7 linked regions of the Cricetulus griseus genome follow. The main gene of each other region encodes a partner of the protein of the gene in region 3 in a complex. Links are inferred from orthologs where the notes say so. Each region holds a gene or a part of one and is shown on either strand. Other genes may lie near its edges. The genes, in order: Calcrl, Gpr68, guanine nucleotide-binding protein G(s) subunit alpha isoforms XLas-like, Hrh1, Adcy9, Calcr and corticotropin-releasing factor receptor 1.

Region 1 (3,500 bases), about 86 Mb from region 3:
AAAGGATTTTCCTAATGTTCAGCATTAACTTTTAGTATTTAGACCTTTCTCCAGATCATCTGCAAGGGGTTAATTCAATAGTTTTAAAGCAATGATATAGAATAAAATGATGTCCGTTGACAAATGTTTTAATTACTTTATACTTCAATTTTATTGATGCCCTAAATCAAGTAATTTGTCATTGTTTTGTAAATTTCAAAACATACTTTTCTGACTGCTACAACAAAAATACTGGTGCAACTCCAGTAAATAAATAGTTCTTGGAATATTAGTAAATGTATGGTCATTTAAAGTAAGCTTAAAGGTGTTAAATGTGAAAAAGGTTTTCTCATTTTTAAGAGCAGGGTCATTTTTAAGTGCAAATACATTTTACTTTCTTATTTGACCAAATACAAGTACATTATAAATGTTTTTTCTAAATATTTTGAAATCTTTCTTTTCTCTGAAAAAAAAAAAAACAGAATTATCCAAAGGGTCCACATTGGCCTTTGGTCCACTCTGTTTTGTACCCTATATTTGAAACTAAGTCTGCCTTGGACTTCCCAGATTGAACCAGGAAGTTCTTTTGAGTTTGGATACGTATGGAAACTCTACTTTGGTGACACATCTTTTATGTCCTGAATCAAGGCAAAGGTCAGGTGCTTGGAAGGTCCTCCATGAATGGCACCAATGACAAAGGGTTTTCTTAAGGAAAATAGAGCATTTAGACTTTGATAGCTTTGCTACCAAATTTACTATGAACACATGTGTATTATTAAAAAAAAAAACCTGCATACAAGTTTTATCAAGCAAGGTGTTTCTTTAAAAAAGATAAATTTATGAATTACATGAACTAAAGGTCAGTGATTATTGACTTATCTTGTTTTAATATTAATATATAAGTATTTTTATACCTTCTAAAGAACAATTCTGGAAAATTTAGCATATAAAATATTTTGTTAAATTTTACTATAAAGAGTTGAATCATGCCATAAAATACACTTCACAAATACATAATGAAAATAAGCAACTAATTAATTTTTAATTAATGTATTTAAAGAACCCACATAGTTCTTTTAAATATTTGTAAAGTATATCTAGAATTAGTAGTCGCTACCTTCTGCCTGTTGAATAGGATCTTGCATAATCTTTTGGTAACATTCATATTGAGCCGTCATGATCTTGTTTCTAGTGACTCCAAGATCTGTTTGGTTAAAACCTTCTTCTTCTTCTGACTCTGCTGTGCCAAGAGTCTAAGGGAGTAAAACAGTGGCTTTAGAATGGTGGAATCTTAGTTAGAGACCTGGTGGAAAACATCAACAACAGTGAGGTGCTTGATCGCTAGAGGACTCTCCTGAGGAAAACCCCAGTGTGTGGTGTTCACCACGTTCTGTAGTCTAAACTCTGTGTCCAGTTTCAAACAGCCTTCAGGTGCTGTCAGTGACAGCACTGACAGGAGCTTCCAACTCTCCAAAGCCTGTGGTAGTTGACTGACTACAGCACAGCCTAAAATACTTGTTTTGAAATGCAAACAGCCATATTTAGTCCCCCAGTTTTGTCACTTGCTCTGTGAGTGTTGGCCAGGTATTCATCACTACTACCAAGACTCCCTTTCATCTCATAAAACAGTAGAAAATGGCATCCGGATATCAGGGAGTACCCATCACATGGAAAATAAGCAAACTTTGTACATTTGAAATGTCAAAAAAATAATTTCCTCACTGCATGGCATCACATTACCTGATTAACACTGATATTGACTGTTATTTTCTGGTAGGCTTGAGTTTCTTAATAGAAAAGTTACTCTGAGAAGTAATAAGTGAAATCCTAGACCATCATGACTATTTTTAAGTCATTTGATCTTATTTGTCAAGCTGAGGTTGAACCCAGTGACTTGTGTAAGCTAAGCAAGCACTATAGATTGAGCTACATCCTATCCCAAGACAATGTTAGAAAATCAAAATAGATAAAACCATTTTTCTGAAAAGCTTTGTAGAAATTAAGCAAAGTAATAATAGTTTCTAACATATTTATATACCATCCATGGATGAATTCAAGGGAAAGGGTCACAGCTCCTTATATTACACTAAGCTGATTGGTAAAATGTTCCAGTGTTGCCTGCAGGGAACTCTGGTTGGCCCATGTAGCTTGCTGGCACACCTAACTGAGGGTATTAGTTGAAGAAACAGTTCTGTCCTTTGAAGTCTAGTCAGTTACCCAAGATAACATCTCATAACCGCAGACACTAGACTACTTCTAGGCTTGAGGATGTTTTCCAATGTGTGTACTCACAGAAATGTAATATTGCTTTTTTGCTCATTTAAGTTTTCAGTTCCTTTGTTTGAATTTTTTTTTTGAGTGCTTTGCTTGGAAACACCACAGGAAAGTTCTTTGCTGGCACAGAATTAGATGAGATTATGTCTCTGGGTTTCCCATTCATATAAAGAAAGATGAGCAGCACTGACTGCTTTAGTCTGATGCAGAGAACAAGACGAAGAGACACACGACTACAAATAAGAAGTGAAACCAGGAAGCATGTAGCTCTTTTGAGTTTGGTAACCCTCTGACTTCACTTCTGGCTTCACAGCAATAACACACATATGTAGAGATGTGCAAGGATGTGCACATTCTCATGGAGATGCACTTGCCCCAAATTCAGCATCAAGATCTATTTGAGTGAGTGAATTGATGAATGAATGAGTAAATGAATACAAAATACAGTACATGTCTCCTAGATTTTCTTTCAATCAATACATGACAATCAATGAACAAAAAACATTTTACATGTGGCCCTGTCTCAAACCCCCCCCCACCAAAACAAAAAAAATTTAAAGACTAGAATATGTTTTTTTCTTACAAATAACTGAATTTGTGTGTCTCTCTAAAAATACTTTATGTGCTGTGTGTAACTGTACTATTATAAAGTATCACCCCAATGTTTTTCTAACTTCACCACTTTAACACGAGATTTGCCCATTTGAATCCATTGATTTTCCAACCTCCTTCAAGGACTCAACAGTCCATATTAGTTATAGAAATTCAAAGTATAAAAAAATACTGAATGAAAAGAAGTAGATTATTGCCGTGTTACTTGGATATAAAAATGAAATCAACTTACTCATCTAATAATTACTTTAACTTGTTTATTAACTTTTAACAATTTGGTGTATATTGTAAGTAAAGCATAATAGTAACTCATAAAGTGGGATGAATACTTACCATATTAAAGAGGAAGAGCAACATAAAATATAGTATATGCTTTTTCTCCATCTTTAGAGTCCAAATAAAATGTGCTGTATGTTCAAACTATAATAAAAGTGAAATAAATAAAATTCAAATTCATGAAATCAATATAGGTTTCAAAAGGAAATATCTGTTATAATTCTACACTATCTAAGAATTTAATTAGTAGTCCTACAAATATTGAAAACATTATAACAGAGCTTAGTGAAATATATTCTAGTTTAATTTGACTTACAAGTAAGAAAACATTTTGCATATGTATTTTTGTGTATAATTCG
Region 2 (4,110 bases), on a different chromosome or scaffold from region 3:
ACTCTGCACAGATGCATCCAGGGTAGATTTTTGACAATGTGCTGCACTGGTACATAACTCTTGTCACAAGGCAGAAGAGAAGACCCTACGGCACTTGATGGCCTGGTCTTGATGGGAGCTCAAGAGCAGTCCCCAACTTGTCCTGAGTTTTCCCTAACGTCAACCCCTGGATCTTCCTGACTATTTGGGGTCTTTCAAGGACACTCTGGATTTCCTTGGTGCCGGTAGAGTCACTGCACAGAAGGACTGCACAAACTCTGCTGTGATTGGTTACTTTGTTTTATTTGCAGACTGAATCACTACATAAATCCACCTCACAGTCCAACACAGGGATACTTGGCATAATAGAGATGACAATACAAAAATACAGCTCTCCATTGTAAGAGGAGCCAGACTCAGCTTGTTCCAGTCCAAGCCAGTGAGATCCAGAATTTCAGGTCAAAATGGAGAGGGGAAGGAGGGGGCGGGGATACTGCAGAATGAAGAGGTGTGGGACACTCAGCTATCACCATTGCCCCACAAGGTCCTAGGCTGGGGTAGGTATGGGTCTTTCTGGCGTGCAGCCATCTCTGACAAACTCTCCTACAAGAACTATATCAGAGTGGAGCTTGAGGCCAAACCTGTGGTCAAGAGACATGATGATGTGTGTTTTGTTAGTTTGGTTGTACCTAGGAACTCTGGGAAACTGTCACATTCCCCTCAAAGGCTGCTGGATGGTCTATAGCGTGTGGAGTGAAGGATAGGAGTTCCTGGCAGTAGTCGCATGACTCTGGTATCAGTGTCTTGGCCACAATCGCCATGGACACCCTGCCATTTTTATATTCTCTCTCTCTCTCTCTCTCTCTCTCTCTCTCTCTCTCTCTCTCTCTTTCTCTCTCTTCCGTCAGGCGCTCAGATCTAGCTAGCACTCTGGTCAGATGGAAACAAAAAACTAATTAAGAAAAGCCCTATTCAGGAACTTGGTTAGGGACACAGCTTCAGGCCCAAGTCCTCTTATTTGAGCTTTAGGATGACATTTTGGAGGGCCCCTGGGATCTCCCCAGAGAGCCCTGGGGTTTGTTTGCCATCAGCCCTTCGGGTTTGGGTTCGACCAGCCCTGTAAAAGTGGGACGTGACTGGTCCTGGGGCTGTCACTCTGCTGTTGTTCCTGCCCCCTCCATACCAGTACCGCACCACACCCCCATTCTTCACCTTAACCAGCTTCCTGTGTCACACAAGACCACAGCACATTTGGACTGGAATCATGTGTGGCAACAGTGGCACCGGAAGGCTTGGCGGTTGAAAACGTCCTGGGAGTGACAATTCTGACTCTCTCCCACCTGTAGCTCAGGCAGCATCAGAGAATATGGGAGAAGACAGGGCTCATTCACACACTCAGCAGTGCCCAGGTTCAGCACAGAGTAGGCTTCCAGGGGGTGGGGGGACCTAGCTGTGGCCCAAGACCGAGAGGTCCTTCCTGCCTGAGGAAAGAGGCACCTGTACATGGCAATGTGGGAGACAGCCACCGCACAAGCTCCAGACCACAAGGCCCGTTGGTGAAAGCTCAGGCCTAACCTAGCCTCACATACGGATGACTCAAGCTAGGCCAACCCAACTGTGGGCGATCCTCCCACTCCCAGTGAGTTAGGGGTCTGGAAGGCCGAGTGGAGCTTGGTTAACAATTCAGGCTCCTCGCCCTGGGCCCCACTTTTCCCAGAAGCCTCAGGGGCACCCAGAGGGTAGGCCTCCCTGGCCCTGCTTGTCCTGGAGCAGGTAAGGAAGGCCAGGCAGGCTCCTCGGAGACGGGCTAGGTCCCTGTGAGTGGTCTCACTGACGAAGCAGTACAGCACCGGGTCAGCTACACAGTTGAAGCTGGTGAGGAGGAGGGAGAAGTGGTAGATGTTGAAGACGCTCTTGGCAAACTCACAGCTGGCCTCCCAGAGGCTGCGCACCAGCAGCAGCACGTGGTAGGGCAGGAAGCAAGCCAGGAAGATGACCACCGTGCTCAGCACCAGCCGCTGAATCTGGTCCTTGCGGCTCTTCTGTGTGCCGTGGCTGCGGCGCACAGCCCGCAGGATGCCCTGGTAGGAGGCCAGCAGCAGGCAGATGGGGAAGAGGAAGCCCACCAGGAAGCGGTAGTAATTGATGCTACGCTGCCAGGACTGGATCGGGTAATGCTCAAAGCAGACTCGGTGCCGGTCCTCGTCCTCGATGACCTCCTTGTGCTTGAGGAAGTAGATGCTGGTCAGCAGCTCCTTGGCCCAGATGAGCACACTGACACCCACGGCTGCCTTCAGGGTTCGGAACTGGTGGAAGCGGAAGGGGTGGGCCACAGCCAGGTAGCGGTCGATGGAGATGCAGCAGAGGAAGCCCACGCTGATGTAGATGTTCTCATAGAGGAGGATGCCACACACCTGGCAGGATAGGTCACCGTAAGACCAGTTGTCGTGCTGGAGTACATACTGCAGCCAGAAGGGGAGCGAACAGATGTAGAACAGATCCGCAATGGTCAGGTTACACAGGTACACTCCCAGTTCATTCCGGGCCTTGATCTGCAGGTAGCCGAAGTAAAGGGACAGGCAATTGGCTGGGAAGCCCAACACCAGCACGGTCACATACACCACTGGGGCCAGTGTCTGGTGGATGGTGTGGTCGATGGGGCAGGTTTGTGAGGAGTTGTCTGTAGTGATGTTCCCCATCTTTGGGCCAGAAGGGGCCTCACCCCTCATGGGCGTGGAGATGGAGTCAATCTCTCGACTGCCATCTTGTTTATAGGCGGTAACTCAATTCCATCAAGGTCTGCTCCTCATTGGTGGCAGGCGAACCCCTACAAGTCAAGGCAGAAGAAGCTTTAAATAATCACAGCTAACATCTATGTAACACCTACTTATGCCAGGCACTGTTCTGTGGGCTGTATTCATTTAGAAGCTGTACCACCCAAGCAGCTCCGGTGCAACTGAAGGAGACATACCCAAATACTGGGGTGTGGCTTATGGTGCCCCGTCTCTGGCTTCCCTTATTTATCCCATTCACTTATTTATTTTTCTTGTCCCTTGGTGCAAGCAAGGGAGGTAAAGGGGAGGTCCTAGGAGCATAATTGAGCCTGGGAGTCTCCAAAGGAGACTCGAGGCAAGAGTTATTTCCGACTTGCCCACAGTGTGAGGACTCCATCATCTTACATACCAATAACAGTCTGATAACATTATAGGACTAAAGTAACTAGACCCAGTACTGAAGCCACAGCTGCTCCAGGGAGCTCTCCATACAGCATCAGAAGAGACACACCCTGGTCCACATCCTTCTGTGCGTGGCAGGAAACAATGGACAGTTTCTCATCACAGGGCCCTGCCCAAGTTCCTGCTACTCCTTAGCAAGTGTTGCCTCTCTCATCTCCCCAGTGGATCTTGGGCAAAGTTCTGGACTGGGGGTCAAAAGAAGCAAAGGTCAAGCCAGGGCCAGCCACTTGCCTGAGTTTGTGACTCTTTCTGAGCCTCAGTTTTCTTCTCTGGAATTTGGGGATTAAAAACACCTTCCCTTTCTGGTCAGGACCACATCAGAAGGTGGATGGGCGGCTGCAGTGTGTATCAGGGGCAAAAGGGGGCTTCTGAGATGCTCACTTCTTCAACACATTAGTGAGGTGACTGCATTCAGAGTTTTTGCTTGTATGTCTTGTCTTTGAAACAGGGTCTCACCATGTAGCCTGGGCTGTCCTGGAACTCACTCTGTAGATCAGGCTAGCCTCGACTTACAGAGATCTACCTGCCTCTGCCTCCTGAGGACTATGCATTCAGAATTTAACAAAAGGAACTCCAGACCACGATAATGTCTAAAGGTAGATAGAATGCAATGTTTTGTGGCCCATGTACTTGATAGTATATCAAAACAGTAAAGGCTTGAACTGTTCTATTGATTGCACCCTTCTCTCTCAGCTGGAAAAATCTCACCTGGCTAGCTACATTGGTATTTTTCTTTTCTTCCTCTTTATTATTTGTTTGTTTGTTTTTTGCAACATCTTTGTCTACTCCTGTAGTCTCCTTAGTGCCAGGGTGATAGTTCCATCTGCCCTGCTCAATTGACATTTTGAAGCCTTTTTTGCATTTTATTCCTTGAAGAAGTTGTTTTGGGCACAGT
Region 3 (4,186 bases):
CAACAACAAGCTGTCTGAGTCGAAGCAGCCGTGCCAGGCGAGGCGGGGGCGCGCACCCCGATGGCCCTAGCCCACCGCGGTCACGAACAATTAAGCCGGGGGAGCCCCGAAGGGCCCTCCCCAGCAGTTCTGGGCTCACCTCACGCCCCCGCCTGTCCAGCCTACGATCGCTGGCGCTGGCGCTGGCCTCCGGCCGGTAACGACCCTCAGTGTCGCTCGGCACCACTTTTCTCCCTGGAGGGTATATACTTCGGCCACCCGAACCCTCAAAAAATCCCCTCTCCCACCCCCAGGGCAGAGTTGGGGTCCCTCCGTGGAACTTCTATCAGGGTTTCCAGACCCCCTCCTCCCGTGGTCAAGGCCCAAGCCCCACCGGAAGGCCCTACCACCTCCTCCCCGGGTGCCCAGGGCGGCCCTACTGCCCAGGGGCAGAAGATGCCGCATTACCTAGAAGCAGCAGGCGGTGTGTGCACATGTAATCCATCTTCTCCTCCTCCAGTTGCTTGTCGATGGCCTTGCTGCGTTTCTTATCTGCGCGTTTCTGCTCTCGCATCTCAATGGCCTCTTTGCGCATCTGTTTGCGCCTCTCTTCAAAAGGATCCTTGGCCTTCCCGGGGCTGAGGGAACGGGCTCTCTCGGGGGCTCCGAAGCAGCTTCCAAAGGTTCTGGTGAAGAAGTTGCGGATTGGGTTGCATCCGACCGTGTGGCTCCGGGTCTGGCCGGGGCGGCGGTTTCGTCGCAGAAGGTACTGGAAGCAGCCGTTGGCCCCTTCTTCCGACTCATCGCTGGAGGAGTCAATCTCGCAGATGACGGATGATACCTCCTCGTACCTGCAGCAGCTTCGGCCACGTTCATACTTGTCTGGCCAGGCGCTCGGCCTCGGAGCAGGCCGCGGAGTAGGCGGGTCAGCAACCTGGATCTCGGGGCTGGGGGGTCTAAGATGGGCCCTGCTCGGGGCGGGAGGGTATGCCCGGGAGGCAGACATTGACCGGGCGACAGAGATTGGGTGGCCCGCAGCGACTGCCCGGGCAGCAGAGGCTGCCCGGGCGGCGGCAGCTGCACGGGCCGGGAGGCATGCCCGGGCGGCAGGAGTAGCCGAGAGTGACCTGGCTCCCCAGACCAGAGGACCTGCATAGGCTGCCCTAGCGGCAGTTGCCCGAGCGGAGGCTGGCATCGCTGGGGCGCCAGGGACTGCCCCGGCAGCCGGATGGGCTCTGGCAGTGGGGATTGGCCGGGGAGCGGGCTCCGGAGGGGTGACAGGGGCTGCCCGGGCGGCAGGCTCTGCCTTAGCAGAGACTTCCGCCGCTGCGGGCTCCACCTGGGTGACGGGGGCTGCCCCGGAGGCAGGCTCGGCCTTGGCGGCAGGGACTGCCTCGGAGGCTGGCTCCTCCGCGGCGGCTGGATCTCCTCCACCTTCAGACTCGGCAGGGGTGGCTGCTGCTGCGATGACCGGGGCTGCTCCTCCGTCAGGCTCCGCGCGGACAGCTGGGGTGGCTCCGACTTCTTCGGGATCGGTTTGGAGATCCGCGGGTGTTGCTGGGGCTGGAGGAGAGCCGCCGCTGGCAGCCGCGGAGGCGGCATCTTGTTCGGTAGCGACGGTCTGGGCAGCTGAGGCTGGCTTGTCATCCATGGCTTCTGGCTGGGTGAAGGATCCGTCTCTTCTCTCCGGAGAAGGGACTTTTCCTTCCACCGCAGCAGCGGTGGTTGGGCTTCCTTCCATGTCGGCTGCTTCTCGCTCAACTGGGGGTCTCTCTGCGCCGCGCTCGCTCTTATCTTGTGCTCCGGAGACTTCGATGGGCGGGCCAACACTTGCGATTGGGGGGCCGTCCATATTGACAGTTGTGTCGTCGCCGACCCTAGAGGAGGCTCTGCCAATCTCCAGCGGGGGTCTGGAGATCTCCATTGGGGGACTGTCGCAGGCGAAGTTAGCGGGAGCTCTGATAGCCTCGCTGAACGGTCTGTCAATGGCGCTGTGGACCCAGAGGGGAGGCGCGTTCTCGGCGGGAGCGAGACTGAGCGCACTCGGGACCGCGGCTGTCGGGAACTCGCCGCCAAAGCCGACTTGTCGGGTGACTCGGGGGAGGCCCGGGGGTGGGCTATCGCCCCCAAATTCTTCTCCATCGGGCCCAAACGGCACAGACTCTTCAGGTGGAGGGCTGTAGTCATCTCGCAAGCTAGCGATTGCAAATCTGATGTTCCCGGGCTCCGCGGGAAGTGCTCTGAGGACCTCTGCCTCCGGACCTCCTGGCGCAAGGTCTGGGACTGGCAAGGGCGACTGGCTATGGGCTTCCTGGGCAGGCTCGTTGAACTCAAATGGCATAGCTTCTTCTGGTGGGGGGCTGTAGGTTCCCTGGGCGGGGCTCGCACCACTGGGGGTCCCGGGCTCCAAAAGCGCTGGATTGAAGGTTTTGAGACCTGCTTGGGCCCCAGATCTTCCAGGCTGCTCCAGGGTGGGCCAGAAACCTCCGGGGCTGGGCTGTTTCGTCTCAAATGGCATGGATTCCTCTGGTGGGGGGCTATAGTCTCCACCCACTCCGACTTCCTCGACCGCCTGGTGGACGCCCTGAAAGTCGGTTCCGGAGACCCCCTGGGGTCCATAGCCCTCAGCGCCGTTCTCGGCGGGGATGGGCTCATTGGCAGACGGTTCGGCCTCCATTTCTTCGGCTGGGCCAAGCCCAGCACCGGGGGCAACTGCCCCTGGGGCCTCCAAAGGTTCTTGCTCGGGCTGCTCCCCGACTTCACCGGGGATATCGTGTTGTCCTGGCATATTGTTGCCGTGGACGCGGCTGCGCATGCCCATAACACGGTTGCGGTTTTTTAAAATAAATTTGGGGCCCCGTAAGACGGAGCACCCAGCCAAACTAGGGTCAAAAAATTTTTTCTTTTAAAATATTCGAGTATTGGCTGGAAAGTTCTCCAGCCTCAGTTTCCAATCTTTGTAAGGATAGATTCTGAGAGGCTAAAACTCAAGATCGTGGCTGAAGTACCTCATTTCTTGCTGGGAAGACCCGGAGCCTCCGGAGCCACACTTCTGCCTTCAAGTTGCGGTCGGCCAGCCACTCCCACGACTTTTCTGGACTCTCTTCTTACTTTGCTAACTTTGGCCCCGCCTTCTTGGCATCTAAGAGCGTGCCGATTCGTCTCGAAAATCGTTAGTAAAACTCTTTCTCTGCCGCCAGAGGACGCCGGTCTCAGTGCTAAGCCGGCTCCGGGAGCTGGCTCCCGGTGCCGGCAGTTCCCGACTTTGGGTATGGGGGCTGATGAGCGCAGGCCTCGCAGGGAGGTTCGCCTCCTTCCTCTCCTCTCCCAGACTGCTTCTGAGTCTGAGCTCCTCGCTTTTCCCCTGGCCAGAGAGAGAGAGCGCGCTCTCCTGCGTTGCTGGGCCACGTGACGTAAGACGTGGGCATTGGTCTGACAGAGTACAGGCGCTGAAACCCTCCCGCCCCATCAGATTCTTCCCGAGGGGAGGAGGGACTGCAGGAGGACTTTGTCACCCCAGATTACCCCAGTCTGCGGCAAACACCTTATCCGAGGACCCCAGCCTCGGGCAATTACCCGTTCTCAGCTCTGAGTTGGGGAAATGAGCCTTTAGGATGCCCGGGAAGGGGTAGAGGAGCGATCATAAAAATGCGACAGGTGGTCGTGAGCCCACCGGAAAGGCGGAGAGGGGATGAAGGGCGATGAGTTGTCAAATATGAACACGCAGTTTGTTTTTTAAATGCTCCGGGGTAATTTTATTATTTTTTTTTAAATGTTTTTGTTTGCTGTTTGTCAAGGATAGCTTCGGTAAATCCCCCTTCAATATGCCCCTTCCCCATTACACTTCCGGTGGGGGGGCTCTCAGCAATAGCCTAGCGTGACGCATCAGGCTTCGGCTTGTTTATGTGGATGGTGACGCAGTAGAAATAAGGGTCTCGGCGGTACACTGCGGCAAAATCGAGCAAAGACCCCTACGCGGTTACCGCTGCGGCGCCGGCGGCGCAGATAGGGGAGGGGGCGCGGGGCTTACCGGAAGACCCCCACCTAGCACGGGCTTCTGCCTTCTCAGGAAGGGGGAATGGAGACTGGGTGGGATACGTGGGATCGTGACCCATTTAGAGTGGTCTTAAAAACTAGAGGACCCGATAAGCACTAACCCACCGACCCACCGTGCCGCGGCAGTAACGGCGACCGAGACTCGCGGCTT
Region 4 (4,236 bases), on a different chromosome or scaffold from region 3:
CACTGCCCTTCCAAATGTCCTGTTTAAGGTAAGCAAAAGCATCTCATTTGGACAGATCATGCAAACAGGAACACAGACACAGAAGACCAGCTTTTACAGGGGTTCCTACTTGCAATTTACACATCGAGGTTTAACAGATTTTGAAATGTAAGTCACAACCAGACTGTGGCATAAATAAAACTGGATGCTCCCATGCTTCGAAAGGATTCACTTAGCATGTGTGATTAGAAATCACAGTCTCACAGATAGGAACCACATTGTCCCTCTGAGGGTCACCCTCTGTGGATATAAATGTGCTTCATGTTAGCTGCTTGGGAAACTGTCACCTCTTGGGGAACACCATGAGTACTTGACAGGATGCATTTTTTCCCTTTTTTTTTTTTTTTTTTTTTTTGAGAAAACCGGTAGCAAGGAGCTGGGACCACACAATGTTCTCTTCTAAGGTTATCACATGAGTGTCAAACGATCTCTGGAACCTCATCTCCTCTGCCTGTTTCTCAGTTTGTCACTCCACAGACAGGACCTGCTCATGCTTTCTGTCGCCCTGAATGAGAGCCCCCTGGTGGAGCATCCAAGAAACAAGGCTCTCTCGCCTTCCTTTTGCTTTGCTTTTTAAGATGCAGTCATTCAAAAACCACTTCCTCTTCTTCTTGACTTTTGAGGGCAGTTTTTGTCACTGTGTTGTTGTTGCCGTTTTAAGAACCAAAAGGAATCAGGAGTTGAGAATGATGGACTTGCAAGCTGTCTAATTTCCTAGGAACTCTGAGACACAGGTAAGGCAGGTTCCAGGGTGGGGCAGGCGGCTCTGGAGAAAGCTAGGAAGGGCTCAGAAGGGCTGTGTTCTGGGAAGTGGTGGTTGCAGTGGAATAGCTGCCATGCCTCTCTGGAAGGGGACAACCACACAACTCTTGCATGAGGAGTCTCAGAGTCCAGGCTAACCCTCCAGAAGAGCCCTAGCCACACATTCCTACTTCAGTTACTAGGGAACTCACATCCAGAGTGCCAGACTTCCAATGAGCACCCAAGACTCCTGCAGTCCCTGAGGTCCAGGTGTACTCTGCCAGGTCTCTTCTTCCAAATACTCTGCTTTCTACCCAAAGTACAATCTTTCTGCCAACGGCCGCCACCTGCTCTTCTTCTGACGGTCCCTGGGAACACCTCCATACTGCTCAGCCCAAGAACTTAGATTCCATTTCCCAACACCCAGGGGCCTAGTGACGCCCATGCTTTCTTCCTCTGGTTCCTTCTTGGACATCAGACGCCGTCCATCCACTATGTAGCATCCTCTTGCTATGCCCTTAGGAGCGAATGTGCAGAATTTTCTTGAATGTCTTTTTGAAGTTCTCATTGCACAGAGGGTAGATGAGTGGGTTCAATGTGGAGTTGATGTAGCCCAGCCAGATAGTGAACATGTGCACGGGTTCACTGCAGCAGCTTTTGCAAAAGGCGATGACCATGAAGAAAATAAAATAGGGAATCCAGCAGAGGATGAAGGCCGCCATGATGAAACCTAACTGCTTGGCTGCCTTCCGCTCTCGGTTCAAGTGCAGCCCAGACACATACTGCCTGGAATGTGAGCGGAGCCTCTTCCAGGTGACCTTGATGTAATCTAGGCCACTGTTAGACCCGCTTCTCAGTTTGTCTTTGCCCAGCCCTGGCTCTGTGCTCGTGTCGGAGTCGGTGGTCCGGGAGAAGGACTGTCGATCCACCAAGGTCTGGTCCTCCGATGTTTCACTGATCCGCCGGCAAGTATTCAGGCTCTGCTCATCCATTTTGGGCTGGCTCAGGACCTGGTCATTGGCCTCTGAGCCCCTGCCACCTCCCTCAGCCACAGTGTGTGTCCGTGTGACATCAAGATGGAAACAGTGACGTGAGACTGTTTCCCTATCTTCCTCTTGGCTGAAGACAGTTGGAGAGTTCGGGTTTTTGGGGTCTTTGGATGTTGACTTCTGCTCCAGTTCTCCACTAGTGTCTCTTGATGGCCTTTTCAAAACACCCCAGGGAGACTCTTTCCCAGGTTTCTTGGTATCCTCCTTGACATCCTCCGACTTCAGCTTGATTTCTAAGAAGGAAGGGAGGGAGCTGTTGGTGAGCTGGCGGTGCTGACAGTGTTGCCGCACGGCCTTGTAGATCTTTACGTAGAACCACAACATGAGCAAAGTGGGAAGGTAGAAGTTGATGATGGCGGTCATGATCTTGAACCAAGTGACATTGTAGAAGTCTGTCTCACACTTGTCTTCCCGAAGCTCTGAGGCCGGGGACATGAAGTGATGCCAGCCAAGAATGGGTATGACCCACAGGAAGGAAAGAAACCAGGCCCCCAGGATGGTGGTTGATGCACGGGTCTTGGTTCGATACCTCAGGTACCGGAGGGGGTGCTGGACGGATCGGTATCGATCAATACACAGGATAAAGACGCTGAAGATGGATGCTGTGCTGGCCACATAATCCATGGAGAGCCAAAAGAGGCAAAGGGGGCGGCCCAGGGACCACTTGGCCATGATGAGATAAAGGATATTCATGGGCATGACGACTGCACCTACAATCAGGTCTGCTACGGACAGGCTGACAATGTACAGGTTGCCCACGGTGTGCAGCTTGCGTTCACTGTGCACGGCATACAGTACCAGCAGGTTGAGACCCACTGTGACCAGGGAGATGCTACTTAGAACCACCACTAGGGGCAGCAGCTGAGGGCTGGCCATGGCGGTTCTGTTCCCCTCACACATCTTGTCTTCGAAGGTTGAGGAGACGTTGGGAAGGCTCATTGGCGCAAGGGCAGCCTCCAGCGATGGCTTCCACCCTGGGAGAAAAGACACATGATCAAAGTCAGAGATCACCTAAGAGAGCATCATGCTGCTCAGACTGGGATTGAAGCTTCTGGGGGCAGTGGGCACCCACCCAACGCGTCCACTCATGCATTCCTTCTGCCCTCGCATCCCATGATTCCTGGCATCATTCTGGGTATCAGAGATAGCAGTGGATAAACTGGACAAAACCCTCTGATCTCGTGGAGTTTGCATGCCAGAGGTGAGTCAGAACAGGGCAATCGGTACCTTGTGCAGGTCTTATTTCAAACATGTCCTGATTGACCTGAGCTTTGTCTTGTCATCTGTGTCCTTTTTGCTGGTTGCTGGTCCTGAGACAAAATTGTGGCCAGAAAGAGGCAGTGGGGCTCACAAAGCACTCTCTCTCTATGACAGATGCCAAACTATGAAAAGCACCCTTTCCCTTCTATCCTCTTCCCAGAAGGAAGTGAAGACAGGTGTTTGGATTATGTCAGTAGTTTGGAGGCGGTCAGGGAATTGTGAAGAAAACCTCAGAGGCTCCAATTTAGGGTTCAGTTGTTACTCGGCTGCTGAAGCGACCCTGAAATCTTGGTGAACAATAAAGTCTAGTAGCTAAATTCTTTCTTTGCTTAGGTCACTTCCCAGGGAGAACTGACTTGTAGCTATGAGCATCCCTAATTGGATGAGATTCAGGGGAGACAGAAGAGGTACAGAGATGTGGACTGAATCTAGCATAGGCCCAGGAAAGTCCTTTGCACTGTGGATATAGCTCAAGGATAGAGGGGTGGTTAGCATCATCAAGGCCCTGGCTTCCAGCCCAGCATCACAAACAAGATGTTTGTTTGCTTATTTGTTTGTTTATTTTTGTCTGTGTTTTGGAGACAAGATCTTGGTACAGGCATGAATGGCATGGAACTCTCTATGCAGACCAAGCTGGCCTTGAACTTGCAGCAATCACCCTGCTTCTGCTTCACCAGTGCTGAATTGCAGGTATAAGTCCCACCATATCTGGCTTCAAAATACTAATTTGCTTATTTTTATGTATTATAATAAGCAAATTAATACAAATTTTAATTTGCTTACTGCATACAATTTAGTATAATTTTAAAAAGGGTCTCAGTTAGCCTAGGCTGGCCTCAAGTCCCTAGGTAGCTGAAGATTACCTTGAACTCTTAACCTTTCTGTCTCTATCCTTTGAGTGCTGAGATTAAAGGGTGTACCATGCCTGGCTGATGCGTGTTCTATTCCCCACCTCCCTTTCTCCTTCATATTTGTGGAATGTCTTTTATGCAAAGATAGGAACAAAAGCTGCTTAGCATGCAGGGAAGCCTCACTTCCATCCTTAGCACCCAAAACAAAGTAAAAACAAGTTCCACAAACCAATAAATGAATGTGATAGTATCAACTGTCAACTTGACAGACTCTAGACCTGTGTGTTGAACCTGTG
Region 5 (3,500 bases), on a different chromosome or scaffold from region 3:
TTAGCTGTTCTCTCTTTCTCTCTTAGGGTTTTTTGTTTGTTTTGAGACAGATCTTGTGTAGCCCAGGTAGCCTTGAACTTGATAAGCAGCCAAGATGGCTTTGAATTCCTGATCCTCCTGATTCCATCTCCCAAGTGCTAGGGTTATAGGTGTGTGCCACCATACTCCAGGCTTCAATGGTATTCTTTTTAATAAAACTTTTAAAAACCTTTATAAAGTGTAAGTTATCTGTTTTTCTTGTTGCTTGCAAGTTTGGTGTTTGGTGGCATATCTAAGCAAGTGCGGCCTATTCCAAGCTCAGACATTTGACACAACTTCCTCAACAGGGCTGGCCTGGCTCCTAGGTTAGCAGAGACTTCGGCTCTGCTGCTGCCTGCCCTTTGTACTTCTTCCTCCCTTTCTTCTTTCTTAATTTCTCACTTCTCCTTTTCATCTCTAATTTAGGAGATCCAGGGCCCATCTGGCATCAGCTGGGCTGCACAGGGGGCTGACCTCTCTAGAGTCCCACCTGGGTGGAGTGGAGGTCAGTGCCTGCGAGGAGGATGGAATGGGCTGAGAGGAAGGGAAGTTCTGCTTTCTTCAGACTCCTGGCCCCTGCGTTGCTTAATCAGTTTTGCCATCAACTGTGGAGCCAGAAGAGGGAGCTAAAAGCCAAACATTGGAGAGCCACTCCTTCAATCGGGGCATACCTGATGGACACTACTAGGGACAGCACCTCCAGCAGCAGGTCTGCACCAAAGACAGCCAGGGCAGCCGGTGGGGGAGGAGTGGCGGTGGCTGCATATTTTAGGAAGCAGGTGATGGAGAGGATCAGGAACACCGTGGTGGACAGAAACACGTCCAGGAGGGAACTGAAGGTGGCGCTGGCAAAAGTCTTCACAGGAGAATTCTTGATGACCTGTTTAGAGCAGGAGAGGACAGGGATGAATGCAGCTGTCCACAGATGGCCAGGAGGTACAGTGTGAGGGAATGCTCCTGACCAGGCACAGGCTGGGGCATGCTCCATGTGGATCATCGCCTCATTACTGCCGAATTTAGAGAAGAGGCAAAGAGAAGTTAAGAGATTTGACTAGGGTCACACAGCAACAGACTGAAAGTCAACAGACTCAAACCATTTACATAGTCACTCTGAAAGAGGAGTTACTGTCTTAAGTCCAGGAGGACACATCTGTAAAGGCAGCGGGTGATGGAAGTGTCCAGTGAAGGGATGGATATGAAAGCTGGCATCATGGTAAGACGGGCAGACATTAGAGCAGCAGCAGCCAAGGAAAGCTTCCATGTGTGCACTGGGAGCATAGACCCTTTATCAAGAGAGCCTTCAAAGCTGGAGTGAAGGCTCAGCAATTAAGAGTATTTGTTGTTCTTATAGAGGACCTGGGTTTGATTTCCAGCACACAGATGGTTGTTCAAAACTATCCATAAGTCTAATCCTGGGGATCCAATACTCTCTTCTGACCTCCATGGGTACCAGGCATGCATGTAGTACATGTACATTCGCACATGAAAGCAAACACATTAAGAAATAATAAATGAACCAATCCTTTAAAAAAAAAGATAATGCTGTGTGGGTGCTGCTCTGTGCTGGCTGGGGGCAGGATGGACATGAAACAATGCCTGAAGGAAACTGGCAGCCTGATCATGGAATAACGGGCACAGGAAACAGGGCAGTACACAAAGTTTACTAAAGAAGCACATGCATGTTGTCAGGGAATTTAGGAGGAGGAACCTGCTGGCATATGATGTGTAGAAAACATGACCAGTTCCAGGCCCCTAGAGGCCCTTCAGAGAGGCACCGTCTCAGTCAGAGCTCTCCACACGCATACAGGAAGAGGCACTACTGCTCCTTGTCTGTAGATGGAGGCCAAGAGTGGCTATCCCCAGGTAACACAGGGAATGAGAGTCAGATAAGCTGACTCCCCAAACCCCAGGCCTTCTTAGGATGAAGAGAGAATGTGTGGCCAGAGGCTTTGGAGAAAGGATGAGAACACTGTTGCTAGGGCTTTGCATTCAGCCTTGGCAGCAGGGGTCAGGGATGAAGGGCTGGAGGTATGTAGGAGGGAAGGCCTCTGACCAGCCCTTAATTTAATGCAAGATACTTTCAGGTCAAACTGGCTCAGTTCCTCGGCCTTGGATAGACCCCAGGAGCGGAGAGGATAGGAAAAGTCAGGACTTGCTTGGCCTAGGGAAATGAGAGTGCTGGTCAGCCCCAATGTCAAGCCTGGACTCACCTGAGCAGAGTGGGCACAGCGATAGAGTACTAATACCTACCCATGGAATTCAGAGGCTCTGAAGATGGCCACCGGTCTGGTCCTAACTTCTGAGGTTCCCTAAATAGACCTAAGATCTTGGAAGTGAGGCTGCTACAATGACCTCCCCCGCAGAGGCAGATGTATGCCATTGCTCTCTCTGGGACTCTAATTAGCATTCTGGGGAGTAGCCAGGGCTTGGGCAGAGAAGACTCAGGACAGACAAGGTTTCCCAACTCCTGGTCTGGGGTGCTAAGGCTCAATACTTCTTGCTTTAGGCAAATACCTGCAGTATTTGTGTTTGAATGTTTAACGGCATTCACTGTCCAGGGCGGGGGGTGGGGTGGGGGGTGGGTGGAGGGGGGATTGACAGGGCAGCAATTCCAACCATACAAAGTAAAAATTAGTCATATCTTGCACATCATGGTCTCCCTGGGTCATGGCCTGGACATAATTGACATGCAGATCTGCCTAATAAGCAAGTGAAATCTGAATGAAACTCCTCTTAGTCCTGGGGTCCGGTGATGGTGCACTTTTAGCCCTAGGAAACTCAAGTCAGGTTGGGGGTCCAGGGAAAGAGAGCTGTGATCTGCTATCTAGAGCTCCAACCAGGCTCTGGGTTCTTCCATTCATTCTTTTCAAGCATGCCTGCTGAATATATGTGGTGTGTGGGATATGCTGGGATTTAGATAGCATTGAAACAGAGAGCTAAGTGTTAGGTTTAGAGATCAGATGGGACTCTAATATGGGATGGTGCACATGAAGAAGAAAGAAGACACAGGGAAGTAAAACCCAGGGGGTGTCAAGGACTGCTTCTTGGAGAAAATGATGTGTGAGCAGAAAGTAAAGTTAATCCCTTAACTCAAGAGTGCTAAGATGGTGGTGTGGCAGAGGAGATATCAACCCCACATTCTGGATGTAAGTACAGACCTCCTCATTTTCTGGTCCCATCTCAGAGAGTTGGAAGTGACAGCACTATGGGGAGAGAAGTGTCACTCAAGAAGCCAGACCATCCTTTCAGGGCTGGGTACAGCCATTAGAAAACCAGAAACACCAGCTATGGAGGAAACAGTCTGCATAAAGAGCCTTGGGTTTCTCCCTGGCAAAGATAAATCCACATACAGTTCGAACACGGGGCATTCTGGTTGTGGGAAGTCAACACCAGCTTTCATTTTCTTGTTACTTGGTAAAGCACAAACCAACAGTGTCCCATGAGAACAGCAACTCTGTTGTGAGGTTGAAGTAAGAACATAC
Region 6 (3,937 bases), on a different chromosome or scaffold from region 3:
GAAATCCTGTAATAATAATTTTAAATATTAAAATTGACTTCAAACCTTTTGGCCTCCTGTTGGACTGGATAATCCAGTATATGTGGACATTCTAGTGGAATTGTAAAGGGACAGGTAAGGCAAAATCAAGATTTTTTTTTTAATCCCTGTGGGGCACTTATGCCAACTAACAATACATTTGTAGCCATCTGCAATGGATGCCTCTAAACTCAAGGGTTTTGCTGTAAGAGCAACCTTGGTGTTTAAGAGATGTTGAATCTATGGAAACTATTGGTTTCCTTTATCTACAGACACTGCATCGCAAAGATAATGAATTGGCATCTTTCCTAGTTTCTCAAGAGGACATTGGTAGTTCCTAGATTATAAACCTGACATCAAGGGGCTCATCTACAATCCAAAAAAAGTCAGGCTTCACTTGGAACTCAGGTTCTACCACATTGCAGCTCCCTGACTGTCCACAAATAGCATAGTCTAAGCTGTCCCATCTGTAAGTGGACACAACAGTGGTACCCTTGCAAGGAGGCAGCTTTGAGGATTAAATAAATTAATGCAAATCAAGTGATTATAATATGGCCTGTGGCAATTAGTCAGGAAGTGTTTACTAAATGCTTTTGCCATCCCTTGTCCCTGTATAACTTTTACCAAGGCAAAATCCAGCTGCATGGCACACCCCAACCCTTGGCGCTTCAAGGTTTTGTCTCTCTGTCTGTTTAAAATATAATTGAATATAAAATGGTACACCCAAACAGGTATATTCACAGTTTGTTTGAAAAGTCCATTATTTCAATGATCCAATTGCCAAATTATTCCAATTGTTTTTCTCCTAAAAGAGACTGAAGTCTTACTCTTGAAAGGTTTTCGGCTGCCTTAGTCAGAATTTCCTGTGGATAGTCAGAATTTTCTATGGATAGTCAGAATTTTCTATGGAACACCTCATTTGGAGCCTTGTTTGGCAAGGGTAAATCCACAACATGGGTCTATTATCATAAAATTTGGAACTATGTTGTCACTTATGGATATATTTTCATGATCTACATGAGTTCAGATTTGGATAAAATCACGTCTTAGCATGAATGGCAGCAGGTAAAATTTTTCCTAACATGTCTGCTACATTGAGACCAATCAACCTTCCCTCGCAGGCTGTAAGAGCTAAGACAGAAAGCTTTGCTCAAAAATGGCAAATAGCTTACCCGTTGTTACCCAGACAAGTGACTCACTTCTTCGATTAGCGTACCGTTATTCTACGGTGGTATAGTTCATAGTCACGGTAATAAACTCAGTTCTTAGAGCAGATCTACAGCTTAACCTCCTTTAGCCTCTGATAAGCCCCAAGAGTCAAGCATAGAAGCTGATGGTCACTGAAAACAAGCTCTATCTCCTCTTACAGGTCCAGGTTGCCCTGAAGCGCCAGTGGGCTAAGCTGAAGATCCGGTGGAGCCAGCGCTGGGGAAGGCGCCGCCGCCGACGCAACAACAACCGCGTGGTTGCGGCTCCTCGCGCTTTGGCCTTCGCTGAGACAGGTGGCCTCCCCATTTACATCTGCCATCAGGAACCGAGGAATGCTCCCATTAACAACAATCAAGGCGAAGAGGGTGTGGAAATGATCCCCATGAATGTCATCCAGCAAGACCCATCCGTCCCCCAGGAAGACTAATCTGCTTGAACGTGAAGCTGCCCCAAGAATTGTGATCCACCGAGCCTTCATTCCTGGGAGAAAGATAGACCATGCATTTCAAGTGACCCCCATCCTCCCAAGTGCTGAGCATCTCATTCGTGAAGAATTATTAAGTGAATTTGTCCATAGTGATTTTGAAGAGAGTTATTCTTGGTACTATTGCTTTGGGAGACAGTCTAGGAATAGAGTCTCTCACTGCAACTTGTCAACTCCATCATTCATCTAGGACTGAGGTGTTGAAGGCAAAGTATCCAAAAATGCCACTAAATTTACCTAGTTCAGATAAGGGTGCTCCTTGTTAATCTTGAGCCATTTGTACCTTTGAAAAATTAAAGTCACTCTCAATATTTTTAATTGTAACACTAGACTTTGAATTAGACTATTTCTGTATTTGGCTATGGATCTGGTTTTTAATTTTTTTAATTTTAATCAATTCCTATATTACATGTTTTAACATCCATACAATGTAAACTGCACAAATAACATGACCTCTGAGAGATGATGCAGTTTTTAAACCGACAAGCAGATAAGTTAAAAGAGATGATGTGTTGAATAGGAAGATATGATACTTTGACTGAAAAGACATTTAGAGTGGGTTTACTGGAACTGTATCACAGTCAGATTGCTTTTGGATAATCCTGTCCACCAGGAAGACCCAAATGCTGTAAGGAATTGATCTGAATGCTGTATTGACTTGGTCACTGACATTTATAAATTGGGAGGTCACCAAGAATCTATCTCCAAATTTTTCACTAAACTGCCAAAATTGTAATTTTCCATGAAAGAGGACACTCTTCAAAGAATTTTTGACTTTCCTAAAGTACACGATTTATAAGGCAAATCACTCCAAGGTTTATAAAGCAGATTACCTCTTGCCCTCGGGTGCTATCTAGCAGTAAGAAAGAGATTTGTTTACGACTGGTAATTAAAAGACTCCATACAAGTCCATTAACTTCCTCCTCCCACCCGGCTTCAAAGCTTAACAAGATCTCTGTGTTTTCCAGGAAGACTCAGTGCAGCTAATTACAAATCAGTTTTTAGTTGACCTCTTGTTTCCTGCTATTAGCAAAAGAGAGGAGGAAAACACAGCATAAAGAGTTCTTTTAACCACGTATTAATTCATCTTAAAATACAAACAGAGCTTCTCATCAAAACCCAGACTTACATTTCTGCATCTCTCTTTACTCCCCAGTATAAGATCTTCAAAGATCCATGAATAAACCAATAACCATTACTGATTTCTGAATCTGCAACAGCAGAGTTATCATTATCTAATTTGTATGCTAAATAAGGAGTTTCATTGAAACCCCCCCAATCTCTGCCTGTCTGTGACACCTTCTATCACTGCCTATCAGAAGTGATTTGCTTGTGTAAAGATAAAACTAAGTAGTTCTGGTTACACATTTAGTGCACCCAGAGAAAACCATATTTCCCTAGGGACCATGGACTTTGGATACTGAAAGTGTGTCTCCTTTACCAAATGTAAGGGAAGAACTGAATCGAAGGGTATTTTGTTCCAATCACAGTGTTACATGGCTATGTTCCTATTTTTTGTTTACAAACATCAAAAACAGTGTATTTCAGGCAGCTCTAGTATAAATGTGATAATGTATTGCTAAAATATTTGAGATGTTGTGCTGATGTAGTAGCAGCTGCTGAAATCAAACTGACTTATCATAGTATTGCATGCGATACCTAAATTGTGTGAACCGCTTTTGCTATGTACATGTATAAATTAATACAGAGCATATTGAAAAGGCAATGATATGTATTTGCATATTTTTTCTAGAGAAATATATTTTCATTTTTCATCTTTCATCCATTCATCTTGTTTCTGCTCATTCCATGCTTCCTTCATTTCAACCTTATACTACCAATATCCCACCTTGTTTGTCTTGTAGGAGCCAGAAAGATCTAAAAGCATAGGTTTCGTGGATCACAAGATCCTTGTCTTTATTAGTGTAACCACTTTCAATCTAACCTAGTGACACAGCCCTCATAACTCTTGATAATATGAAACCCTCCATAACTGCCAGTCTGTTATGAGATTTATTTGAGGATTACAGCATGCAAATCCAGGACAAGGAAGTAAAAAATCATTTTGATATGTGTTAGTTTCCCTTGCTCTGGAGCCAGACTTGATCTGTCCAATATCACCTCAGGTCACTAGAATTGGTATAATTACAAGTTTCTAATATCATTTGGAAGAAAGACTGAGACTTAATAAAAGGTAACCAATTAAATATCATTAGGATGCATAAG
Region 7 (3,435 bases), on a different chromosome or scaffold from region 3:
CCTCTGCTGTGGAAAATGAAATTGGAGTAAACTCTGTGAAGAGAAGGCCTCCCAGAGGCCATCACCCTCATCCACGCAGTTTTGACTATTTGTAAGAGACCCTCAGGATGGAACCAACTGTTGACATTCCCTCATAGAAAGGGGAAGTAGGGAGAGAGGGGTTGCCTGAGATTCCAGCCATTGCCTCCTATGCCTCTAGGCTAGCTGTATATAATTCTGCCCTGACTGCACAAAGCCTCATGTCTTAAGAGGGGCTGGCATTACAGAGGTAACTTGGGGTGAGACTCCATTTATGTAGCTATAGGGACGTCATACCCATGCTGTGGGGAGACTTTTTAGTGGCCTGGCTACTTTGAGGTCACCTATGCTTCTATAAATAACCCTTTGCCTACGTCCTGTAAGCAATCCCAGTAAATTTACTGGCTCCCCCAGGGGGACTTCAGTGAACTGCATCTGAGTTTGTCGTTGGACCCCTAAGGAAGGAGTAGCTGCTTGTTTGTGTTTCTCAGGGAAAGAATTCTCAAAACAGCAAGCCAGAAACTTTCTGGATCCTGGCCTAGCACTGCTTTCTCTGGCACCCACTCAGGGACTCTAGTAGTGGCTGTGTACACGTTCACTGCCCTGCCACCCAGGTGGTTCCTAACAGCTGGCAACTTCTGTCGGACTCCATCGGAGAGCAGCCTGTGCAGGGGAGATTTCACAGCTAACATGTATGATATGACAAGAACTAGGGTTGCTTTGCAGTCTCCTGAGCTGCCCTTCAGCAAGCTCCGGGGAGTAGATAATTGGAAGTCCTGTGTCGCCATGGACACATGGGCTTTGAGATGGATGTTTCTTCAAACGAGAATGTGAAGTTTGAAGATATGACCTCTGTCTCTAACAGGTTTGTTTAAAGCCACCGTTTGTGGGCTCCAAGCTGGGGCCCTGGGGCTTCTCTTCCCATGTTCACACACCCAGAATCCTTCTGCTGCACTGCCTGCATCTGTCCACCAGATGGCGCTTCAGGGCTGCTCACGTCTAACTTGCTTTTTAGTGGTACCCTTTCTGCTCCAGGGTGGAAAGGGGGGCCACGGGGCTTTCCCAGCCCCTCTCTTTCTTCTCTCACTCAAGTTTCCCCCTCCCCCACCCATCTCCTGTACTCACACTTTCACATCCTACAAAGCACAGGCAACCCCACTCAGGAATTTCCAAGAGGATACCCAGGAACACTCCACACCCACTTAGGAACTGGATCCCTGCAGCCTCCTACCTACTCTGCTGCTGTGCAAACACTCCAGCCGGAGGCAGAAGGAACTACTTTCACAAATGTGGACGACACACTTCCAGACTCCTAGTGCAGCCCAGTGAGAGGAAGGGAGGGACTGCCACTGTGAACCCAAAGTCACCAAGTCAGGCAGCTGGGATCTGGGAATGCTGATGGGGCACAGGTACTGGCTTCTGCCTTGCCTGGCTCCTCCCACCTTCTCTCTGTCTTTCTGTGAAGTTCTCAATCTTAGCTTCACACTAGAAGCACCCTGTTCCCACAGCATAGAGCTCTGAGGTACAGAACTTCCTAGATCTTCCCATTGGATTCTTGTAAGGGGCAGCTGGGATGCCCCCCACCCCAAGCTGTGACTTCAGGGTTGACTAGGAATGCACTAGTGTCCTTTCAAACAACCCAAGGCTTCAGAGAGAAGCTGGGAGAGTCTTTGAAACCACCTGGACTAGTTCCCATTAAAGCCATAGAATCTTATTGTAAAACACACCTTGCTGGGCAATAAACACTTGGGTAGCATTTACTGGGCTCTAGGTTCTATTCTATGTGCTTAGAATACTGGGCTGCACTCCATCTTCCCTACAGCTTTGAGGCAGTAGCTAGAATGAAGATACCCATTTTACAGATGAGGGAACTAAGGCCTGCTGCGACAGCCCCTAGGTCACATAGCTACTTAGTGATAGCACAATTCACAACCTGGGATGCCTGAATTCTGGTTTTGCTCTTCTTAAAACTCCAGACAGGTGACCCTGGCTGCCTAGCTCCGCCTTTGGCAGAGCACTGGGAAGGACCCTTGAATTTAGGCCAGTGTTCAGCTCTGCCTCTGTTGATGCAGAAGCCGCTGTCTTTACAGGACAGACAATGGCCAAAGCCCCCCGGGGAGTGTGCTGAAGGCTCTGACCTCACAAAGTGACTTACTTTTCATTGTCGTAGTACAGCTTCCCAATGGCCCATGCCACAATGATGGGGAAAGGTACACCTAAGAGAGAGAGGGGGGCTGTCACTGAACCCTTTGATGGAAGACCCCAGGGCAGTCCAGGACATATAGTAGAGCAGGGATTTCTGGGGGTTGAGCTCTGACGCTTCCTTCATGGTGATCCCACTATTCTCATCCCTAAGAAGGGTGCACACACCTCCCTCCCCACCCGGCCAGCCCACGTCTCCTCCTCGGTGAGGAGATGCAGGGGAGGGGCTGGCTCAGCTCACCCCAGCCAATACAGATGAACATCCACTTGCGTAGGCGGTCAGTGGAGTATGTGAGCACGATGGCCGTGTGCAGGTAGCAGCCTTCGCCAAACATCCAGAAGAAGTTGGTGACATGGAAGTAGTTGTAGGCAGCTGTCACCAACCTGCACCATGCCTGCCCAACCAGAGATGACCATGAGCTTGGGGGTGGTCAATTATAGTGCCCCACCCTCAGGTTCCTTGGGGTCCTCCTCTTGTTCTGTGGGTACTCAGGCCTGCCCCCTTTAAACTTTATGTGCACTGCTGTGAGGGTGTCAGATCCCCTGGGACTGGAGTTACAGACGGTAGTGAGCTGCCATGTGGGTGCTGAGAATTGAACCCAGATCCTCCGGAAGAGCAGCCAGTTCTCTTAACTGCTGAGCCATTTCTCCAGCCCTTCTACAGGGTAGCCCCACTCTAGCTCCTTTGACCCAGGCTTGGCCTTTTCTGTCTCCCTAGCTGGGACGCACCACATTGCTCTGGTGGACCTCGGGGCTCATGGTGAGCTGGACCACAAACCACGTGGCATTGCGCAGGATGAAAGCCGAGATGAGGTTCCAGTGGATGATGTTTCTCAGGCACCGGATGCTCCTGGGGCAGCAGCAGAGGGCAGGTGGCAGAGAGAAGGGCAGGATGAGGGCAGGTACCAGCATCATTCCAGCCCAGATGCAAGATGGAAAGACTACATCTTGGTGTGAGTGGGGCTGATAGGTTGCCCTGAGCTCCACAGGTCCATTCCTATCTGGGGCCACTAAGACATCCACTGCTGGTGGAGCCTGGTGTTGTCAGAGATTCCCGCTTTGTTCTGCACACCCCAGGAATGAAAGGCAGGGGACTGGCAAAAAGGAGAGACCTCTAACAGTAAGACCCCCTCAACTTTCAGCTCCTGGCCCCACCCACTCCCAGCTTTTTCCCATCACTTTGGCCATGCACATTTGACCTTGAGCCAGGGATGT

The links.
Region 1: the proteins of guanine nucleotide-binding protein G(s) subunit alpha isoforms XLas-like (region 3) and Calcrl are in contact, whole or in part, in a cryo-EM structure (PDB 6UUN), measured with the Homo sapiens proteins. The link is inferred for Cricetulus griseus from reciprocal best matches to the Homo sapiens genes GNAS and CALCRL. Residues at the interface, in NP_000507.1 of Homo sapiens: Gln35, Arg38, Ala39, His41, Val217, Phe219, Arg356, Tyr358, Phe376, Arg380, Asp381, Ile383, Gln384, Arg385, His387, Leu388, Arg389, Gln390, Tyr391, Glu392, Leu393, Leu394; in NP_001258680.1 of Homo sapiens: Arg173, His177, Tyr236, Leu237, Leu240, Ile241, Val242, Val245, Phe246, Ala247, Lys249, Ile312, Leu316, Lys319, Leu320, Val322, Thr323, Arg336, Ala337, Ile340, Leu341, Phe384, Asn388, Gly389, Glu390.
Region 2: the proteins of guanine nucleotide-binding protein G(s) subunit alpha isoforms XLas-like (region 3) and Gpr68 are in contact, whole or in part, in a cryo-EM structure (PDB 9BHM), measured with the Homo sapiens proteins. The link is inferred for Cricetulus griseus from reciprocal best matches to the Homo sapiens genes GNAS and GPR68. Residues at the interface, in NP_000507.1 of Homo sapiens: Arg38, His41, Phe219, Gly355, Tyr358, Tyr360, Phe376, Cys379, Arg380, Asp381, Ile383, Gln384, Arg385, His387, Leu388, Arg389, Gln390, Tyr391, Glu392, Leu393, Leu394; in NP_001171147.1 of Homo sapiens: Gln49, Asn54, Glu55, Leu56, Leu60, Asp118, Arg119, Ala122, Val123, Ala124, Pro126, Phe127, Arg128, His130, Arg133, Thr134, Ile208, Ala211, Val212, Ser215, His216, Gly217, Thr218, Gln219, Arg222, Gln225, Ile226, Leu229, Val230, Tyr286.
Region 4: the proteins of guanine nucleotide-binding protein G(s) subunit alpha isoforms XLas-like (region 3) and Hrh1 are in contact, whole or in part, in a cryo-EM structure (PDB 9LRB), measured with the Homo sapiens proteins. The link is inferred for Cricetulus griseus from reciprocal best matches to the Homo sapiens genes GNAS and HRH1. Residues at the interface, in NP_000507.1 of Homo sapiens: Gln35, Arg38, Ala39, His41, Lys216, Val217, Asn218, Phe376, Cys379, Arg380, Asp381, Ile383, Gln384, Arg385, His387, Leu388, Gln390, Tyr391, Glu392, Leu393, Leu394; in NP_000852.1 of Homo sapiens: Asp124, Arg125, Ser128, Val129, Gln130, Pro132, Leu133, Arg134, Leu136, Lys137, Arg139, Thr140, Ile213, Ala216, Val217, Gln219, His220, Cys221, His223, Lys412, Ala413, Gln416, Leu417, Cys471, Asn472.
Region 5: the proteins of guanine nucleotide-binding protein G(s) subunit alpha isoforms XLas-like (region 3) and Adcy9 are in contact, whole or in part, in a cryo-EM structure (PDB 9U3P), measured with the Homo sapiens proteins. The link is inferred for Cricetulus griseus from reciprocal best matches to the Homo sapiens genes GNAS and ADCY9. Residues at the interface, in NP_000507.1 of Homo sapiens: Ile207, Glu209, Phe222, Arg228, Arg231, Arg232, Lys233, Trp234, Ile235, Gln236, Phe238, Asn239, Glu268, Leu272, Ser275, Ile276, Asn278, Asn279, Arg280, Trp281; in NP_001107.2 of Homo sapiens: Ala381, Phe382, Arg383, Phe1070, Glu1072, Tyr1075, Glu1076, Glu1080, Cys1081, Arg1083, Val1084, Glu1087, Asp1091, Phe1152, Asn1155, Met1156, Leu1157, Trp1158, Phe1159.
Region 6: the proteins of guanine nucleotide-binding protein G(s) subunit alpha isoforms XLas-like (region 3) and Calcr are in contact, whole or in part, in a cryo-EM structure (PDB 7TYY), measured with the Homo sapiens proteins. The link is inferred for Cricetulus griseus from reciprocal best matches to the Homo sapiens genes GNAS and CALCR. Residues at the interface, in NP_000507.1 of Homo sapiens: Lys34, Gln35, Arg38, Ala39, His41, Val217, Phe219, Tyr358, Phe376, Cys379, Arg380, Asp381, Ile383, Gln384, Arg385, His387, Leu388, Gln390, Tyr391, Glu392, Leu393, Leu394; in NP_001158210.1 of Homo sapiens: Arg180, His184, Glu240, Tyr243, Leu244, Leu247, Ile248, Val249, Val250, Ala251, Val252, Phe253, Glu255, Lys256, Ile319, Val322, Leu323, Lys326, Met327, Glu329, Thr330, Lys340, Lys343, Ala344, Ile347, Leu348, Leu351, Tyr391, Asn395, Asn396.
Region 7: the proteins of guanine nucleotide-binding protein G(s) subunit alpha isoforms XLas-like (region 3) and corticotropin-releasing factor receptor 1 are in contact, whole or in part, in a cryo-EM structure (PDB 6P9X), measured with the Homo sapiens proteins. The link is inferred for Cricetulus griseus from reciprocal best matches to the Homo sapiens genes GNAS and CRHR1. Residues at the interface, in NP_000507.1 of Homo sapiens: Gln35, Arg38, Ala39, His41, Val217, Phe219, Phe376, Cys379, Arg380, Asp381, Ile383, Gln384, Arg385, His387, Leu388, Gln390, Tyr391, Glu392, Leu393, Leu394; in NP_004373.2 of Homo sapiens: Arg151, His155, Tyr212, Leu213, Ala216, Ile217, Leu219, Thr220, Tyr221, Asp224, Arg227, Ile290, Ile293, Leu294, Lys297, Leu298, Ala300, Ser301, Lys311, Lys314, Ala315, Val318, Leu319, Leu322, Phe362, Tyr363, Asn367, Ser368, Glu369.

The regions. Positions count from the first base shown.
Region 1 is NC_048599.1:91,136,944-91,140,443, reverse strand, and holds part of Calcrl (calcitonin gene-related peptide type 1 receptor), read right to left. Parts: intron 3,286-3,500; 5' UTR 3,250-3,285; coding exon 3,199-3,249; intron 1,233-3,198; coding exon 1,097-1,232; intron 1-1,096. UniProt on the Homo sapiens protein: G protein-coupled receptor which specificity is determined by its interaction with receptor-activity-modifying proteins (RAMPs). Together with RAMP1, form the receptor complex for calcitonin-gene-related peptides CALCA/CGRP1 and CALCB/CGRP2.
Region 2 is NC_048598.1:104,876,948-104,881,057, reverse strand, and holds Gpr68 (ovarian cancer G-protein coupled receptor 1), read right to left. Parts: upstream 2,801-4,110; 5' UTR 2,709-2,800; coding exon 1,581-2,708; 3' UTR 289-1,580; downstream 1-288. UniProt on the Homo sapiens protein: Proton-sensing G-protein coupled receptor activated by extracellular pH, which is required to monitor pH changes and generate adaptive reactions. The receptor is almost silent at pH 7.8 but fully activated at pH 6.8.
Region 3 is NC_048599.1:4,771,606-4,775,791, forward strand, and holds the start of guanine nucleotide-binding protein G(s) subunit alpha isoforms XLas-like, read right to left. Parts: upstream 2,801-4,186; coding exon 448-2,800; intron 235-447; coding exon 1-234. UniProt on the Homo sapiens protein: Guanine nucleotide-binding proteins (G proteins) function as transducers in numerous signaling pathways controlled by G protein-coupled receptors (GPCRs).
Region 4 is NC_048601.1:30,303,985-30,308,220, forward strand, and holds the start of Hrh1 (histamine H1 receptor), read right to left. Parts: upstream 2,801-4,236; 5' UTR 2,769-2,800; coding exon 1,299-2,768; 3' UTR 1-1,298. UniProt on the Homo sapiens protein: G-protein-coupled receptor for histamine, a biogenic amine that functions as an immune modulator and a neurotransmitter.
Region 5 is NC_048600.1:42,358,211-42,361,710, reverse strand, and holds part of Adcy9 (adenylate cyclase type 9), read right to left. Parts: intron 899-3,500; coding exon 690-898; intron 1-689. UniProt on the Homo sapiens protein: Adenylyl cyclase that catalyzes the formation of the signaling molecule cAMP in response to activation of G protein-coupled receptors.
Region 6 is NW_023276806.1:221,156,323-221,160,259, forward strand, and holds the end of Calcr (calcitonin receptor), read left to right. Parts: intron 1-1,387; coding exon 1,388-1,654; 3' UTR 1,655-3,437; downstream 3,438-3,937. UniProt on the Homo sapiens protein: G protein-coupled receptor activated by ligand peptides amylin (IAPP), calcitonin (CT/CALCA) and calcitonin gene-related peptide type 1 (CGRP1/CALCA).
Region 7 is NC_048600.1:117,205,391-117,208,825, reverse strand, and holds part of corticotropin-releasing factor receptor 1, read right to left. Parts: intron 3,071-3,435; coding exon 2,950-3,070; intron 2,616-2,949; coding exon 2,462-2,615; intron 2,235-2,461; coding exon 2,174-2,234; intron 1-2,173.